Linked DNA regions of Oreochromis niloticus. The protein of the gene in region 2 purifies or fractionates together with the protein of the main gene of each other region. This does not show direct contact. Links are inferred from orthologs where the notes say so. Each region holds a gene or a part of one and is shown on either strand. Other genes may lie near its edges.

Region 1 (7,645 bases), on a different chromosome or scaffold from region 2:
TAGACTGTAAATAAAAAAGAGACTAATGGCAGGAATATCCGTGAACGACCGGCACTGGCTACAGCGAGGAGCTAGCAAAGCAGCACAAAAGAGGAATCCTATTATTATTTCATCATTTTCACACATTTTAGACATTTTCAGTTCACAATACTCATTAAATACATTTCCCTACATGGAAAAAAGAAAAAAAAAAGTAGACTGTAGCAGTCAGATGCATGGCACTTATAAGGAATATTCAAATCCATTGATGCTTTTCCATTGTTTTGGTTTCAATACAAATTTAAACATGTTTGGCAAGATCGGACGCAGCAGAAATGAAACACAACCAAACCTACATCCATTTTAGTCGTAGTAGTAAGTAGTAGCTGGGACCTAGCCCAGCTGTCATGAGTACACCCTGGACAGATTGCCAGTCTATCACAGGGCTAACATAGAGACAGGATGCCATCCACACCTATGACCAACTTAGAATTGCCAGTTAAGCTAACATGTATATTTCTGAGTGTGAGGGGGAACCTGGAGAACATGCGGACTCCACCCCGTCACATATTCAGAGCCTGGTGTTCATATGTTGACAGGGACTGGAAAAAATAATCTTACGAAACAATCTTTTCAAGCAACTGAACCAAAACCTCCAAGTAAGCACATTTTTTTGCTGTTTGTGCTGTCTGCAGCTCATAAACTCGCTGATGTATCACACAGATACACAAACACCTACACACGAGACTCTCTTATTACATTCAGAGCTGGAAGTGACCCACAGCGCTCGCCTTGTTCTGTCAGTCACTGTGAGGTCGACTCTCCCTGCCAAACAGCAGCTTGCACATCACTTTCCCTGCAGCCCTCCTGGTATCAGCACACTGAAGCCACTGGCCAGCAACTTCCTGACGCTGACGTTGTTGGTGTTCCATATCGCTCTGACTCATTAGAACCGTGCAGATTTCCCATGACATTTGTGTAACAGCCGAGCTGAGTGTCTTCTAAGTCCAGTTTACTGTGCTTTTAGGCAGTAAATGCTTCTGAAATGAAATAATATTGGGTTTATGTGTACACACGCCACACAATGGCTCATGGTGGCAGTTGTATAAATGTTTTGGTTCATGATTTTGCTTGAACAGCTTGTTATTCAGGATGTCAACTTCAAGTTCAGTTGGAGGGGGGCACCAAATTACGCACAGAGATTACCTTTCTCATTTTTAATGTCTTTAAACAGAAAAAAACCATCATTAAGTGACACCCTGCTGTAAAGAAAACAAGAGCGACTGCATGCTTCATACCTACAACTTGACGGCAACACCGCACCCCCTGCTGAGTACACATGAATGTCTGCCAACAATAACTCATGAGGGTGCCAAAAAACAAAAAAAACAAAACAAAAATCACATGCACTTTATGTACCACCCTGTTTTCACTCCAGATTGAACTGGACCACCCTGGTGCTTAAGTCTACTAACACTTCAAGTGTTCGCCATCAAATCATCGCAGGTACTCTGTAATAAGACGGCTTCCATTTCCCTTTGGGGAGCGATGTCTTTTTTATGACATGGAAACTAAACGCGTTACATAGTTGGAAAAGCCGTTTCGTGAATCTGGGTGGAAGAAAGGGGAAATACCGCCAAATGAGAGTTTGTTTAGTTAGCATGACAAAATTCCTTCCACTTCCTGAAATGAAAATAGCCACATCTGTAAAAGTTCATTTGAACCAAAACGATGATAATGAAGCATTTAAAACAAAAACAAAAAAAGATCTTTGTACACAAATACATAAACTGAAGAGAGTCACAGTGTGACACAAAGAAAAAAAGTAATTAAAACTGTTTTTAAGACAGGGTAAAGGTCTTTGGCAGAGGGAAATACATATGAAGATGGAAAATGTTGTAAATCGATCCACTAAAAAATAAAGTGCAGAAGCATATGGGGTGCTGGATGGAGCACAGGAAAAACTCTGAGTCGGTGTAGGTAGCAGATTTACAGGGTGGCATACAGTGGGACATATAAGTGAGCGCGTGCATCTAAATGCATGAATTTGCCTTTGTAGGCTGCCTTGATTCAACGACATGATTTTCCTGTGTTTTTCCTTACTTTCCCAATTTCAAAATGTCTTTCAAAAATACAAAAATAAAGCACCTTTATTGTACCACTTATACGCTAAAGGGCACAAATGCTTTCCACTGGGACGCTACTCTCTGTTTGTTAGCAGCCATGTTGTTTCTATCAATCCTGATAATTTTATACCTCAGCATAAATTTGGTTGGGATACAGTCGATGTTCTCGACTGTCTGTTTGAGCTGTCCAGTTATATAATACTAAGGCAAGTTCCTTATTCCAGCAGGGTTATTGCTGAGAGTATGTTACATTTTTTTTCTTTATATTATTATTATTAGTAGTAGTAGTAAGCTGCTAATGTATTAATATTATACTGTAATATTATAGATAAAGCTTCCCGGCAGTATATAATTACCAGCTATGGAGAGATTTTGTGTCAGCCAAATGTTATTACCACAGTTGCACAAAGGGGTAATAAATGGATGAAGTGACTGTATCAGTATACATACAGAAGTGATGATATTTTACATGATGTGCAGATAACTGCAGATAAGAATACAGGTGTGCCTTAAATCTATCCACGCCCTTTAGTGTGGCTTTGGCACCAAATGTTTTGAAAGAACCACCCAGAAGAAAGGGGAAACACCTCCACTGAGACAGTCTGTTTAATTCGAACAATAAAATCATTTCACTTCCTGAAATGAAAAACAAAACATGACTTTTGTAAAACTGATGGTTCATTTGAGTTGCCGCTGATTGTAAGACAACATAAAAAGACTCAATCAGCACTAATTCAGCATAAATAAAGGACAAAAATAAATAACAGACCCAAGACTCTGCTATAACTTCATAGTGATGCTACTAGAATACAATGTATTTATGATATTCTTTGATTTTCATGCAACAGCCTCCATCAGCCACAGAGCAACTTCGTTACATAGTCACCAATTGGCAATGCTAAAAAATGATAACTACAATGCCATTTGCCCTCTCCATTATTGATGGGTTTTAGGGGTCCAGACCTGCCTAAAAATGTGAATTGAGCCCTCTGAGCTGATTCTACAACCATTAATTAAATCAAGTCAGAAAGTTTGGTAATGAAAAAGTAAACACCCATGATGCCATAAAGCTGCGATGTAAGTTATTGCAGCACAAGCTGAAGTTAATTATTTGGTTAGCTGTAGTTTAGCGCTTCTGCAGCAATAGCAGTAACCAGCATGATGGAGAAGGGCACTGACGTTGGAACAGATGGCTCTGTGGAGGTTACAGTTTGGAAAGTACCTTGTATGTCGTTTTGGAGCTAAAAACAGGTCATTCATCTGGTTGTGCAACTACTCTATATGGACACACGTACTGGGCCACACCTCTTTCGAATTCAGATGTGCTCAGTCCCATTGCCACAGGTGTATAAAGCAATTCTGACTGCTTTTACAACATTTGTGCAAGAATAGGTCATTACAAAGATTTACTGAATTTTGTGTGATCAAGTATAAGTCATATCAGTAAAAAGTCAAAGCGTTAAGGTATCATAGCAGCTGTGAAGTTACAAGTGCTCTGGCGCATAGTGCAGAGTTGCATACCTCCTGTGGCATTAATATTAGCACAAAAGCTGTGCACCAAGAAATTTGTGGTATTCATAGGTTTCCAAGGAGAGGCAGTTCCTAAAAGTGTAATGTGTAGGTGGCCAAGAACTGTTGCTTTCTTGTGTGGCAAAAGAGCTAATTAAATTCATCTGACATTAAATATTTAAATATACAGTATATTATGCATTTAAAGGAGATCTGACGGTATTTCAGATGAGATACATGCTCTTTTCTGAGTATAATGAGAATACAGGTGTGCCTGAACGTTTTGGCTCGCCTTGCGATGTACCTTTAGCACAAAATGCTTTAAAAGAACCACCCACAAGACGTGGAAAACATCTGCAAAGAGTATGTTTGTTTAGATAGCATAATAAAATGCTTTCTGCTTCCTCAACTGAAAAGACAGGGGTGACGTCTGTAAATCACAAGTTAATTGATATGATTGCTAAAAAAAAGGACGGGACACACTGGAGAGATTATGTCTTATGTCTATGATGGATTGACAAAAGCAAGGTGTTGTGGGTGCACGTGCCACCCCATTGAAAAAATCCTGGAAACGTCCCTGATCCAGACCTCCTTTTCCTTTCCTTCACCCACAGAGAAGGTGGGAAGATTTGGTTGTTCTTACAGATAACACTGTTTTCTACTGCAGATACATTCACTGACATGTGGTTTTACATCACTTCTGTGTTCCCAGCTATATCACAGCAAACAGTAGCCTAGAGGCGGTCAAAAAATATTAGCTACTGCACGTTAGAGAGCCTCTCTTAGAATTTTTTTGTGAACCCGCAGAAGGTTATGCAATATTTTTAAGTAATCTTGTCTTATTTGGTGTGCACAGTCGATAAGGATTACCCTGCTCGCTCACTCACTCACTCTCCCTTATAATCCGCTGATGATGACGTTATACTGCAGTTCCTGGGCTTCAGATCTCGCGAGGTTACGGGAAACAATCCAGACGCGCTCTCTCTCTCTCTCTCTCTCTCTCACTCTCAGTTCCCCCTCCTCCCCAGCCCTCCCTTCCCACGCCCCACTGCGCTGTGGGATAGTGGCACTATAAAGTATATCCTCTCTCGGCGAAAGATAAGAAGCCCGAGACAGGAGGGGGATGAAGATGGCGGACGCCAAGCAGAAGCGGAATGAACAGTTAAAGCGATGGCTTGGCTCGGAAACGGACCAGGAGCCTCCTGTTTTGAAAAAGAAAAAGACGAAGGTGAAGTTCGATGATGGCGCCGTGTTTCTGGCCGCCTGTTCGAGCGGCGATACCGAGGAGGTGCTCCGAATGCTTGACCGGGGCGCTGACATCAACTACGCCAATGTAGACGGTCTCACCGCCCTCCACCAGGTTTGTGTTGGCCTGCCGTGTGTGTTTATGTCAGCAGCTGGTACCATTAGACATAAATATCGACTGGCTGCTAGCAAAAGCTTACCCTGGTACACCTGTCAAATGGAAGCCATTCTCATCCCGTTGTTTACCTACCTAGCATACTCGTCCTTCTCGAAGCAGAGAAGGGATGAACCCGTTGGCTTCCTCCTGAGGCTGTTTAATTGGTAAACCGCGCTAACTATGCATACACTTGCCTGAGTATAAGTGGCAAGAAGCAGCAAAGTCAAACACCTAATTTCCAGGGCTAATTCTACTTCATGCCTCCATAAACTAGCCTGAGTCTGTAGGTGCAGTCTAATTGCAGTACTGCTGCATTTTTCGGGTTGAAACATTGGCTCGGTTTTATGTTGTAAATGCAATCAAGCCAGACAAGCACCTAGTGTCTGTGTGGTCCATTGATTATTTTCGGATCCTACTTAGTGTGTTTGGAGCTTAATATAAATGATGTTCATGCAGAATGAACCCAGCAATAGATGGCTGCTACCTGGTTAGCAGTAAAAGTCGTTTTGTTGATAAACCCTCCCCGACTGTGGCTACTCTCTGGAGAGGAAGCAGAAGCTACCTCGCTAACTAGCTTCAGATACAACGTCATTCAGATACAGGCTAATGTTACGATTGCAAAACAATGATTGCTTGTCACTCTAACTTAAAAAATGCATCCCCTCATAAATATTGGGCATATTAGTTTAATTGCCAGGAAAGAGTGAATGGTAACAGCGCAGTATTAGCCCAGCGGATTGTCTGCTAACGTACTTTAGCATGCTAAGATAAATGTCGTTAGCTGTGTGGGGCTTTAGCTGAAGTTAATTCATTCATTAACTGACCGGAGAAACGGCGTCAGCGGTAAATTATGGGCCTCATAATTTTATGCTGTTTTGTGTATAGTTAATCGGAAACGGCTGTGTCGTTAGCGCTTTTGCTACACCGGGATGTTAGCCGTGCCAAGCTAGTCATTTGCCCGCTAACTGGGGTAGCTACTTTGACTAGCATCAGTACTTCCACAGCCGATAAACTGAAAATGGCACCTCATCTTGATGGGTTTTAGGCGGTATGAGGTAGTTTCAGTCCAAATGGGTTAAAAGCCTGATTTGAAAGCTTTATAAACCACCATGGATCCAGTGATGGAAGTGGGTTGCTTGTTGGTGCAGTAAGCTTACATAAAGTTGTGACCAGGTTAAGTCCAGTGAGGTGTGCAAAAGCTAGACTAGAATTAAAACTTAAATAACAAAGAACCTGATCGTGTAATTTATGAATTTGTTTCTGTTGCTTCAGATGTAGCTTTTACCATTAAACAAGTACACTTATTTTAAAAACAATAGGATTTAATAACATGTTTTTCAGTTTGTGCTTAATGGATCAAATGATTACGGGTATACTGTTAGCTTTTACAGTGACATTTTCATAAAGAAATCTTGCTTATTTTGTACCAAGAACATTGCAGTTAAGTGTTTTACTATTTGGTGGAAATAAGCAGGGTGAAGGGTTTGGGGGATTTCCCCTTTCTGGACTGCATGTTTCTGCCTCTGATAAATAATTTGTCATTCCCACTGGAAAATAAACTTTTATCCCCCCCCCCTTTCCAGGATTTTTGCAGTGTCTTGAAACAGTCAACAGTGCAAACATCAGTCCAATCAGAAACTGATCTCACTTTCAGTGCTTGTGAGGCTGCTGGGGTGAGATGATCAGGATCTATTCCATTCCAGCTTTTCATTAAGCCAAACTGTAACGTTGGATCTCTGGGTCCAGAGAGTTGCAGAAAAACCTCAGAAATATTGTGTGCCAACCAGTTGCCTCTGTGTTGACATCTGAGGTCTCTCCAAAGGTGATTTGTGCAGCTTCTTCTTTTCTTCTTTCTTCTTGTTGAGTTGCGGCTCGGCACCAGGACTGTTCTCTGCAACATCCTGCAGTCGTTTGTCGCCTTTTGCATGATGGCGCAGCTGCTGTGATAGGCTGATGGAGAGGGGTAGAAGCATTTTGTTTAAAAAGATCAACCTTAACCTGATCTTCGTTCACAAGTTAGAACATGCTGTCGAACATATTACAGAGTCAGATAATTTCCACATATTTATTAACACTCAAACTGGAAAGTGTGCTGCTGATCTCAGAAAATGAAGTCTCCTTCCCTTTACAGAGACTTTATGGATTCGGGTAAAAGAGGGTGATGTGTTTTACATTTGGGGTTATTTCAAATTAATCATTAAAGCTATGAAGCTAACATCCTCTGAAGAGGGAAACGGTGGTTGCCCCTCTATATATTTTTTTTATTTTTCTCTCCCTGCATATTGCATCCTGGATATCAGTATTTTAATTTGAAGAAATAAAGGATAATGCTGGTGGAAACGAGCATTTGTTTATCTTGTTTGCACTAGTGTGGATAGTGTTTACATGATGTAAGGATGTACAAAACTATTCACATTAAATGTTTTATACTTGCATAGATCTCCTGTGATGTCACTTCATTACTCATGTCCACATGTCTCGTCTTAGTAATTATGAGCACTGCTTTATGCACCACCTTGCTCCCATGGTGTGTTTGTTCTCCAAGACTTACGCCACTGCACAGATTAAAAGTTTTAAAAGCAGGTTTTAAGGCATGGGTCATCAGCTTTATCCGTATGTGATTTCATGT
Region 2 (7,463 bases):
CAACAGCAGAGAGAGCACAGACGTTAAGGCGGTGAGGCGTGATTGCGGGTGCCGCTCAGGGCGTCCGCCTCCCCTGCAGCGGCGCTGCAGAACATGCCCCGCCACACACATTAACCAGGTAAAATACATATTTAGGCAGAATTTTGCAAATATCTATTTTTCATTTTTCAGCAGCATAGTGCTTTTTTTCCAATTATTTTTTTAAAAGTCAGGTCAAGGCTCCAAAAGCCCAAAGGCGATATATGGGTGGCGGCTGACAACAGTTTTTGTTTGCTACATGGATCATTTTAGTTCACCTGGGTGTCTTTCCTTTTGTTATATTTCTTTAAGAGTTCAAAATGTGTTAATTACATAAATAAAATGTAATTTTCTCTATAGCACTTCATGGATTTCATAAGCAGCACACCTTAGTTGTTCACACAAAGCACAAAGGTAAAATACAATATATACAGTGTTATCTTCATTTTAGATGTCAAAAAGTATTCGCGGCTCCCAGTGTTTTCTTTTACGTGGAAACTGGGTCCAAATGGCTCTTTGGGTCTTAAAAGGTTGCTGACCCCTGCCCTATCCTGATGTATGTTGACACCCCCCCACCTCACCCCACACCTCACACCTAAGTGGATTATGCAATCAGACTCTTGCACTTAGACAATGGAAACAGCTGTAATGCCACAGCACGCAAGATGAAGCCACCCTTTGTTTTTGTGTCACTCCCCTGAGTCAAATGACATATCTCTGTCCATTATGTTGTCAATAATCACGCGTGCAAAGGCTTCTCTGCTAAATGCCATTTGTTGGGTGTGAGCTTGAAAACGCGTATTTGGGCTAATCAGTGTTTTGATACTTAAAAAAAAGAAAAGAAAATTGCAGGTTTGAGGCATCAGGAAGCTGCCGGCAGGGATAAATCCCAGACACCAACTCGTTTCTTATAAAAACAGCAGAGCCAGTCGGTGAAAGAGCAGAGATGGGCGTGTGTGGACACGGGTCAACTTGTATCACTGCATGTTTACTGTAAGCACCAAAGGGAAGGGGAAAGGGATTCCTAACACTTACTTCCTTGACTTCTCCACTTTCACTTACACTAAAGCAGGGCTTTTAACAAAGGGCATTTCCGATAAAGTATGAAACAGCAACCGAGTCAGGCTTCCTGAGAAAAACCCCAGGTTTCTACAGCAGGAATGTTTAGTTTTCATTTTAAAGTCTAGATGTGGGCTTTGATTTGGATCATTTTAACACACTTTCCACTTCCCAGTATGTTCGATGAGCCACGGCAAGTAAACAAACCATTAGGCAGGACGAATGCAAATCACATGTTTATCGAGAGAACAAAGATTTTAATAGGTACACCAAAAATAAACTCAGGTGCCAGTTTATTATGTGGGTTTGTTTAAACTGGTTTTAAGTGTTGTTGTTGAGTCAGGGTTTGTTTTGTGGTGCCACATGACCCTGACCCAGTCCCGTACAGTATTTTTTAACTGGTCTCACAATCATAATCAACCCGCTTCCACATTCCTTTCTAAAATATTTACAAGCTAAAAATAAAACTCTGATAAGGATGTGCTTCGATATCTTATAATCAAGGGGAAAAAACCCCTCCTTTTTATGACTCTTTTAAGGGCTTATCTGTCTACTGTTTTAAATTCCTCCCATTTCCCCTTAGGCCATGGAGAGCTGGAATTTACCTGGAAGCCCAGTTGCAACCCCCGCATCTCCTCCTCCTGTTCCTTTTATCAAAAAAAAAAAAAAAAAAAAAACCCAACAAAAAGAAAGTTACCTAAACTGTTTCCTGGGGAAAATAACTAACCCAGCCTTTTCCAAGAGACTTTCTTTTGTGCCTCACATGGGCTAAATTTAAAAAAAAAAAAGAGAGGTTATGTAAAATGCCCTGTGATAATGTTCTGTTGAAACTCCATGATAATGACCTCAAACTGGAGCAGATCTCAGTGTTTAACCTGAATACACCATGAAGAGGCATGGGCAGATGCTTGCATAATTGCATTTGCGCTTAAGCCAAATTCAAGCGCTTATCAAGCAGATCAGAAAGAGTCTGCGGGCTGGTGAGGAGGAAATTATTAGATTATGGTCAGTATAGTCCAGTGTGAACGTAAGAAAACATCATTTATAAACATACTGAACCCTTCGGCAAACTTTAGCCAATAAACACACACCTCAGGAGAGATGGCAGGCGCACTTTCAGCTTTATTACTTTACAATCCGCCCTAATAAAAAAAAATAAAAATATTATTTTCATACAATCCAGCAATACTTTGCTGTTTTCTTTTTTCAAAGTGAACGCTCTGCGGTAGAGTTTCCACGCCTTTATTTGAAAATTCAAATCCAAACGTGCTCTACCTGTTTGCAGACAGCCAGTCACCTAAAATAGCGCTCGCTGTCTAAACAACAGGTGGCCGATGGGACGAGCAGCCCAAACACCGACCTCAGACTGATTGCAGGTAAAATGTGATCAGGTTACGAATAATAATAATAAAAGAAAAACAACACCATGCTTACCAGTCTACCGGACCTTTCCTTGGCCTTCTTCACCTTGCCGTAGGTTCCTTTTCCGAGGGTCTCCAGAAACTCGTACCTGTGTTTCAGGTTGTGTTTGTGGTGGTGCCTCTTCACGGCTTGTTTTTTCACGGGCACCTGGAACTGAGCTTTCCCGAAGGGTGTGTTTTCGTCGTGAAAAGCTCCCCCGACGGACGACCTGCTGCACGCTGACGAAAGATGGGCAGCGCGTAATGCATCCATGCCGACCCCCGGCAGCGGTGTTGTCTTGTGTCGCTTTACTTTCAGACCCAGGTGTTAAAAATGCATTCCCTCTGTGTGGAGCCGCAGGCACGCTTCAGGTTAAAGTCTCGATACAAAGTCTTCAGCTGAGAACTGGAGGTTAGTGTGATCGAGAAGCTCTATGCAGGAACTGGAACATCTGCGTGTTAGCTCAGTAATGCTGCTGGGACTCGGCAGCAGGTAGACAAGAGTGAGGGGGAAAGCGGCGGAGCACCGCCCGCAGACGGACACGTCAAATAGTGGAGGGGGAGTTTCAGGTAAGGGAGGAGCGCTGGATCTGCTGCACCGCGCACACCGTGGAGTGAACAAACAAAGTGAACTAGTTGAGATTGGATTTATGGGCTACGTGTATATAACATTTGTGCTTCAGCTTTATTTAAAGTTAATGTTAAAAAGAAGAAGAAGAAATTATTCAGTATTGCCTGGTAACCTCTTTTAATGCCCACACAAACCTTTTTTTGGTTTTGCTTTGTTTAGTTTTTAATTTTTGGGTGATTGGTGTAAAAATCTGTGTTCCACATAAACAGACCAAGGACACCCCACAAAGACGAAAAAACCCCCCAAAACAAACAAAAAAAACAAATGGGGCACAGAAGTTGAACAGGTAGTTGCAACATATCCAGTGGTTGCATTTAAGTAAATTTACTCAAACGATCGCCGTCTGACGAAACCGACATGTTGGCCTACTTTGCAACACACACCAGATCTCATATATGAGAATAGTAGTGCAAATGACCCAGTGTTGATTATAATATTGGTGCTATCAGCAAATGAGGTAAAGGATGACAGATGATACTATAATTCTCTTATGTGATAAAATGCAGATGGATGGTATGAGAGTATGTGGTATTATAAAGCATTGTTGTGCACGTTTAGAGTATTTAAAACCTAGACAGGAATAAAGCATTACTTTTGACAGTTGCTTATTTTGAAACCACTGTGTAATCGATGGAGCTTATGCCTCGAAACTATCCTCTTAAAACGTTATGAATAAGCCAGCTTCTTTCCCATCATTGCTTCTTGCTCATTTCCAATGAAGTGGAAAAAATACACAGCTCTCTAAGATCAAATCTGCAAGGTCAAAAAATGAGTTTTTGTGTTTTGCTTTTTTCTATTCCACCAACGGACCGCATTTTCAGTCCTGACTGACTTCATGCAGCTATGTTTATTTGGATATTCTGATCTAAACGGGAAGCCAGTGGTGAGCTGGGAGAAGTGAAATCTGGAACAGAAAACGTTTAGATGAATAATGTTGTTGCAGCTATGGGCCACTGGAGGTCAGCATGCAGTCACTGTTTGCAACACTGCAGGCTGGTTAACCTGATTCGAGGCCACACGTTCATCACTATATATTCAGTACAAACCTTAAGGCAAAACATCTGACAAGTGTTTGTCAGTCAAGACAAGATGAGCCGCCTTCCCTGAACTTCATGAATTAATACTTTAAACCAAGCAAAGCTGCGTGTTCACACATTCTGTTTTAACTGACAGGACCTCAAACTTTTATTGTCCTTCAGAAGCTGAAATGTCACTAACAGCATTACATTTCACTGAAACAAACAAGCTGCTTTTACTTGTCCTTGCATAAACCATGTTAGTCAAACTTACTTGAACTGCAGTTTTTCCCACTCTGGTTGCCCGTGCACCCCGCAGCGGCGCTATGCTTCAGCAGGGGGTCTGCTCCACATTTTGGGAACCAGTGTTCTAAATCGTTGGCCTTTTTCTGTTTACCGCTCACTAATGTTTCACAGATTATTCACTCGTGCATGCAGAGGAACATTTTGAACAAATAAACGACAGTGAAGTAGAAAAAAAAAGAGAACAGTAATATAAAAGTGCTTTCGCAGCTAAGTAATTTGGTCAATTATATGTTGTTGTGTTGGGAATCAAATCAAAATACCAGCTAGATAACCAAAAATGTTTTGTTGGCGATGACATCAGGTCAGATAAGGTCACTGTGGACTGTGGTGTTCGCGGATGACATTGTGATCTGTAGTGAGAGCTGGGAGCAGGTGGAAGAGAGCCTGGAGAGGTGGAGGTATGCACCAAAGACAAGAGGAATGAAAGTCAGTAGAAGCAAGATGGAGTAGAGTCAGAGTGGAGTGAGTGGAGTCGAGTGTCAGGGGTAATTTATAACAGAAGGATAGTAGCAAGCGTGAAAGAGAGAATTTACATGATGGTTGTGAGACCTGCCGTGATGTATGATTTTGAGACCGCGGCACTGACAAAAAAACAGGAGGCTGAGCTGGAGATGTTAAAGTTTTCACTGGGAGTGACGAGAATGGAAATAAGTAGAAATGAGTAGATCAGATGGACAGCTCAGGCTGAGCAGTTTGGAGACATGTGCATGTGCAGAGGAGGGACAGTGGATGCATTGGACAAAGGATACACACATTTAAATCTTTATTAAAAACACATTTATTCTCTTTGGCATTTGATTAGAGTGTAAAATACTTTTGGACAATTGCATTTTATGTTATGGTTTTATTTTATTTTATTTTACTTTATGCTAATTATTTCTGCATTTTACTGTAGTTTTTCTTGGGGCTATATACTTTTAATGTATAGCACTTTGGTCAACCCTGTTGTTTTAAATCTTCTATATAAATACATTTGACCTTTGAGAGGATGCTAAATATCAAGCTGCCAGGTAAGAAGACAAGAGGAAGACCATAGAGGTGATTCAGTGAAGGATGTAGTGAAGTAGGAAATGCGGAGGGTTGTTGTGACAGAGGAGGATGATAGGGGATAGAGTGAGATGGAGGCAGAAGCTCTGCTGTGGCAACCTTTTAACTGAAAGAAGAAGAAGTTTCAAGAAGAGAACATAAATGAATCTGTAAAGTTATTGCACATGTGATGTCCAAATATTATTAGTGTTATCTGACGTTATATCTGAAATATTATACATTTATTAAATCAGATCATATAAAGCTTTGGCACAGAAAATATTCCTGATTTGATCTGACCTTAACTAACCTTTTCGAAGATAATGTTTTTGTAATTCAACCTTTCTGCCAGAAGAGGGAGCTCACTAGCAGCTTGTAGTTCTGACACATGTCTGCACTCAGTTTCTCACTGTAATGGGCCGACTTGGTACGGGACTAATAATAGCCCCATATTACTTGTAAGTTCTTAGTGTCTTTGTCTAGCAGAAGTTTGTCATGTGGAGTGATATAAAAATGAAAACTATCATTTCATATTTGATTTGAATGTAAATAAACCCATGTGGTATGAGAGGTAACCACATGCTGGATAGATTGCGAGTAAAGCAAGGAAACTTTTGGTTGACCTAGAATTACCCAATTATTAAACTAAATAATTAAAACAAATGTAGATGCCTGTGATAGTATAACTGAACATAAAGACAAGTCCCATTCATTTCCAAGGATGGACATGCACGTGTGCTCATGAATTAGTCGGAGAACTAATCAATAAATCTATATCTCTGCTGGGATTATTATTGATCAGATATTACACTGTGTGCACAAAGCCGTAAACCAGATATTTTCCACTCTTAGTCTTTTTTCGTTCATAATTCCCCTTTTTCCATCCGTCTATATCTTCGCCTCCCGGTGGAAACGGCGTTCTCTCTAATGCCTACACTTCCCAGAATGCCGCTTGGGCCCCGCCTTTTCCTCCGCACACCGCTCTCGTCGAGTTTCTGTTTTGCTGTGATTTCACTCCTGCTTCTCTCAGCTATATGATTTTGACACTCCTCGCCCTGCACCAGCCCCACTCGTCCTATTCGTCACCACCAGCGACAGCACCCGGCTCGGTTTGGCAACTGTCAGTCGTCGGTGTTTGGGGTGGAGGATGTCCGCTGGCTCCACCGGGCCACTGTTGGTTAGGAACGGTCTATAGCGCAGCCTCCTCTGGAAAAACGGAGTTTTTTTCGTGTTGTTGTTTTAAAGTCGTGCTCGGGCTGTTTGTGTCGGTGACAAAGCCGGGCCCTCTCTTTTAAACACGGGGCTGCACTGCTGTGAAAGTGTGCCGCGTCAGGTTAAATGGATATGTGTGCCGTGCCAGGCTAAGGCGGGGACGGATCGGAGATGCCCTCTGGCTAGCAACGCTAACTTTCAGTGGACCACAGCTAGGTCGCAGCACTGATTTCTTAGCGTAATTTTGGCCGACACAACGTAGCCTTACGTGCGTGCTTTGTTTTTAAGACACTTGCAAGTTTGTTGTTAGTAATGAAAAAACACTGCGACTATTAAAAGGAAGTAAAAATGATTAAATAGCGATAACTCGAAGCGGTTTTCTTCCACTCGAAGCTTGACGTGAAACTAGCTTAGCCGTGCTTGTCAACAGGACAACAACAAATGCCTTCTTCTCATTCACGGACACAACAGACAGTGGGGACCGTTTAGCACTGACGCACTCCTACTTCATGTATGTTTAAGGACACTACCTGTTAACTTGACTCCTTTTCTTTCTTTCTTTCTTTTTAATTAACAAATGCTAGCAGGTGGTTTTGGGCGAGCATGTGAACTAACTAGTTAGCGCGCAAGGAAAGGGGTGTGCATTAAGACATTTCGGGTTCACTCAAGGTGTTTGGCACCTGACCACTTAAGTCGCATCGAGGACAAGGCAGCAGCAGCAGCCCAGTCTGTTTACCATGGAGGGAAATGCACAACAGCAGAAAACGACTCCTCTAACTCGGGAACTGACGAGAG

Evidence for each region. The genes of interacting proteins can lie anywhere in the genome.
Region 1: the proteins of nuak2 (region 2) and ppp1r12a purify together in Homo sapiens (affinity purification with mass spectrometry; 3 studies listed by BioGRID and IntAct, counting the BioPlex papers as one, with this or other methods). This does not show direct contact. The link is inferred for Oreochromis niloticus from reciprocal best matches to the Homo sapiens genes NUAK2 and PPP1R12A.

Annotation. Positions count from the first base shown.
Region 1 is NC_031981.2:15,912,192-15,919,836, forward strand, and holds the start of ppp1r12a (protein phosphatase 1 regulatory subunit 12A), read left to right. Parts: upstream 1-4,626; 5' UTR 4,627-4,737; coding exon 4,738-4,974; intron 4,975-7,645. UniProt on the Homo sapiens protein: Key regulator of protein phosphatase 1C (PPP1C). Mediates binding to myosin. As part of the PPP1C complex, involved in dephosphorylation of PLK1. Capable of inhibiting HIF1AN-dependent suppression of HIF1A activity.
Region 2 is NC_031970.2:21,808,992-21,816,454, reverse strand, and holds the start of nuak2 (NUAK family SNF1-like kinase 2), read right to left. Parts: upstream 3,022-7,463; 5' UTR 2,752-3,021; coding exon 2,512-2,751; intron 1-2,511. Other genes in the region: dstyk (dual serine/threonine and tyrosine protein kinase), read left to right, coding at 7,406-7,463. UniProt on the Homo sapiens protein: Stress-activated kinase involved in tolerance to glucose starvation. Induces cell-cell detachment by increasing F-actin conversion to G-actin. Expression is induced by CD95 or TNF-alpha, via NF-kappa-B.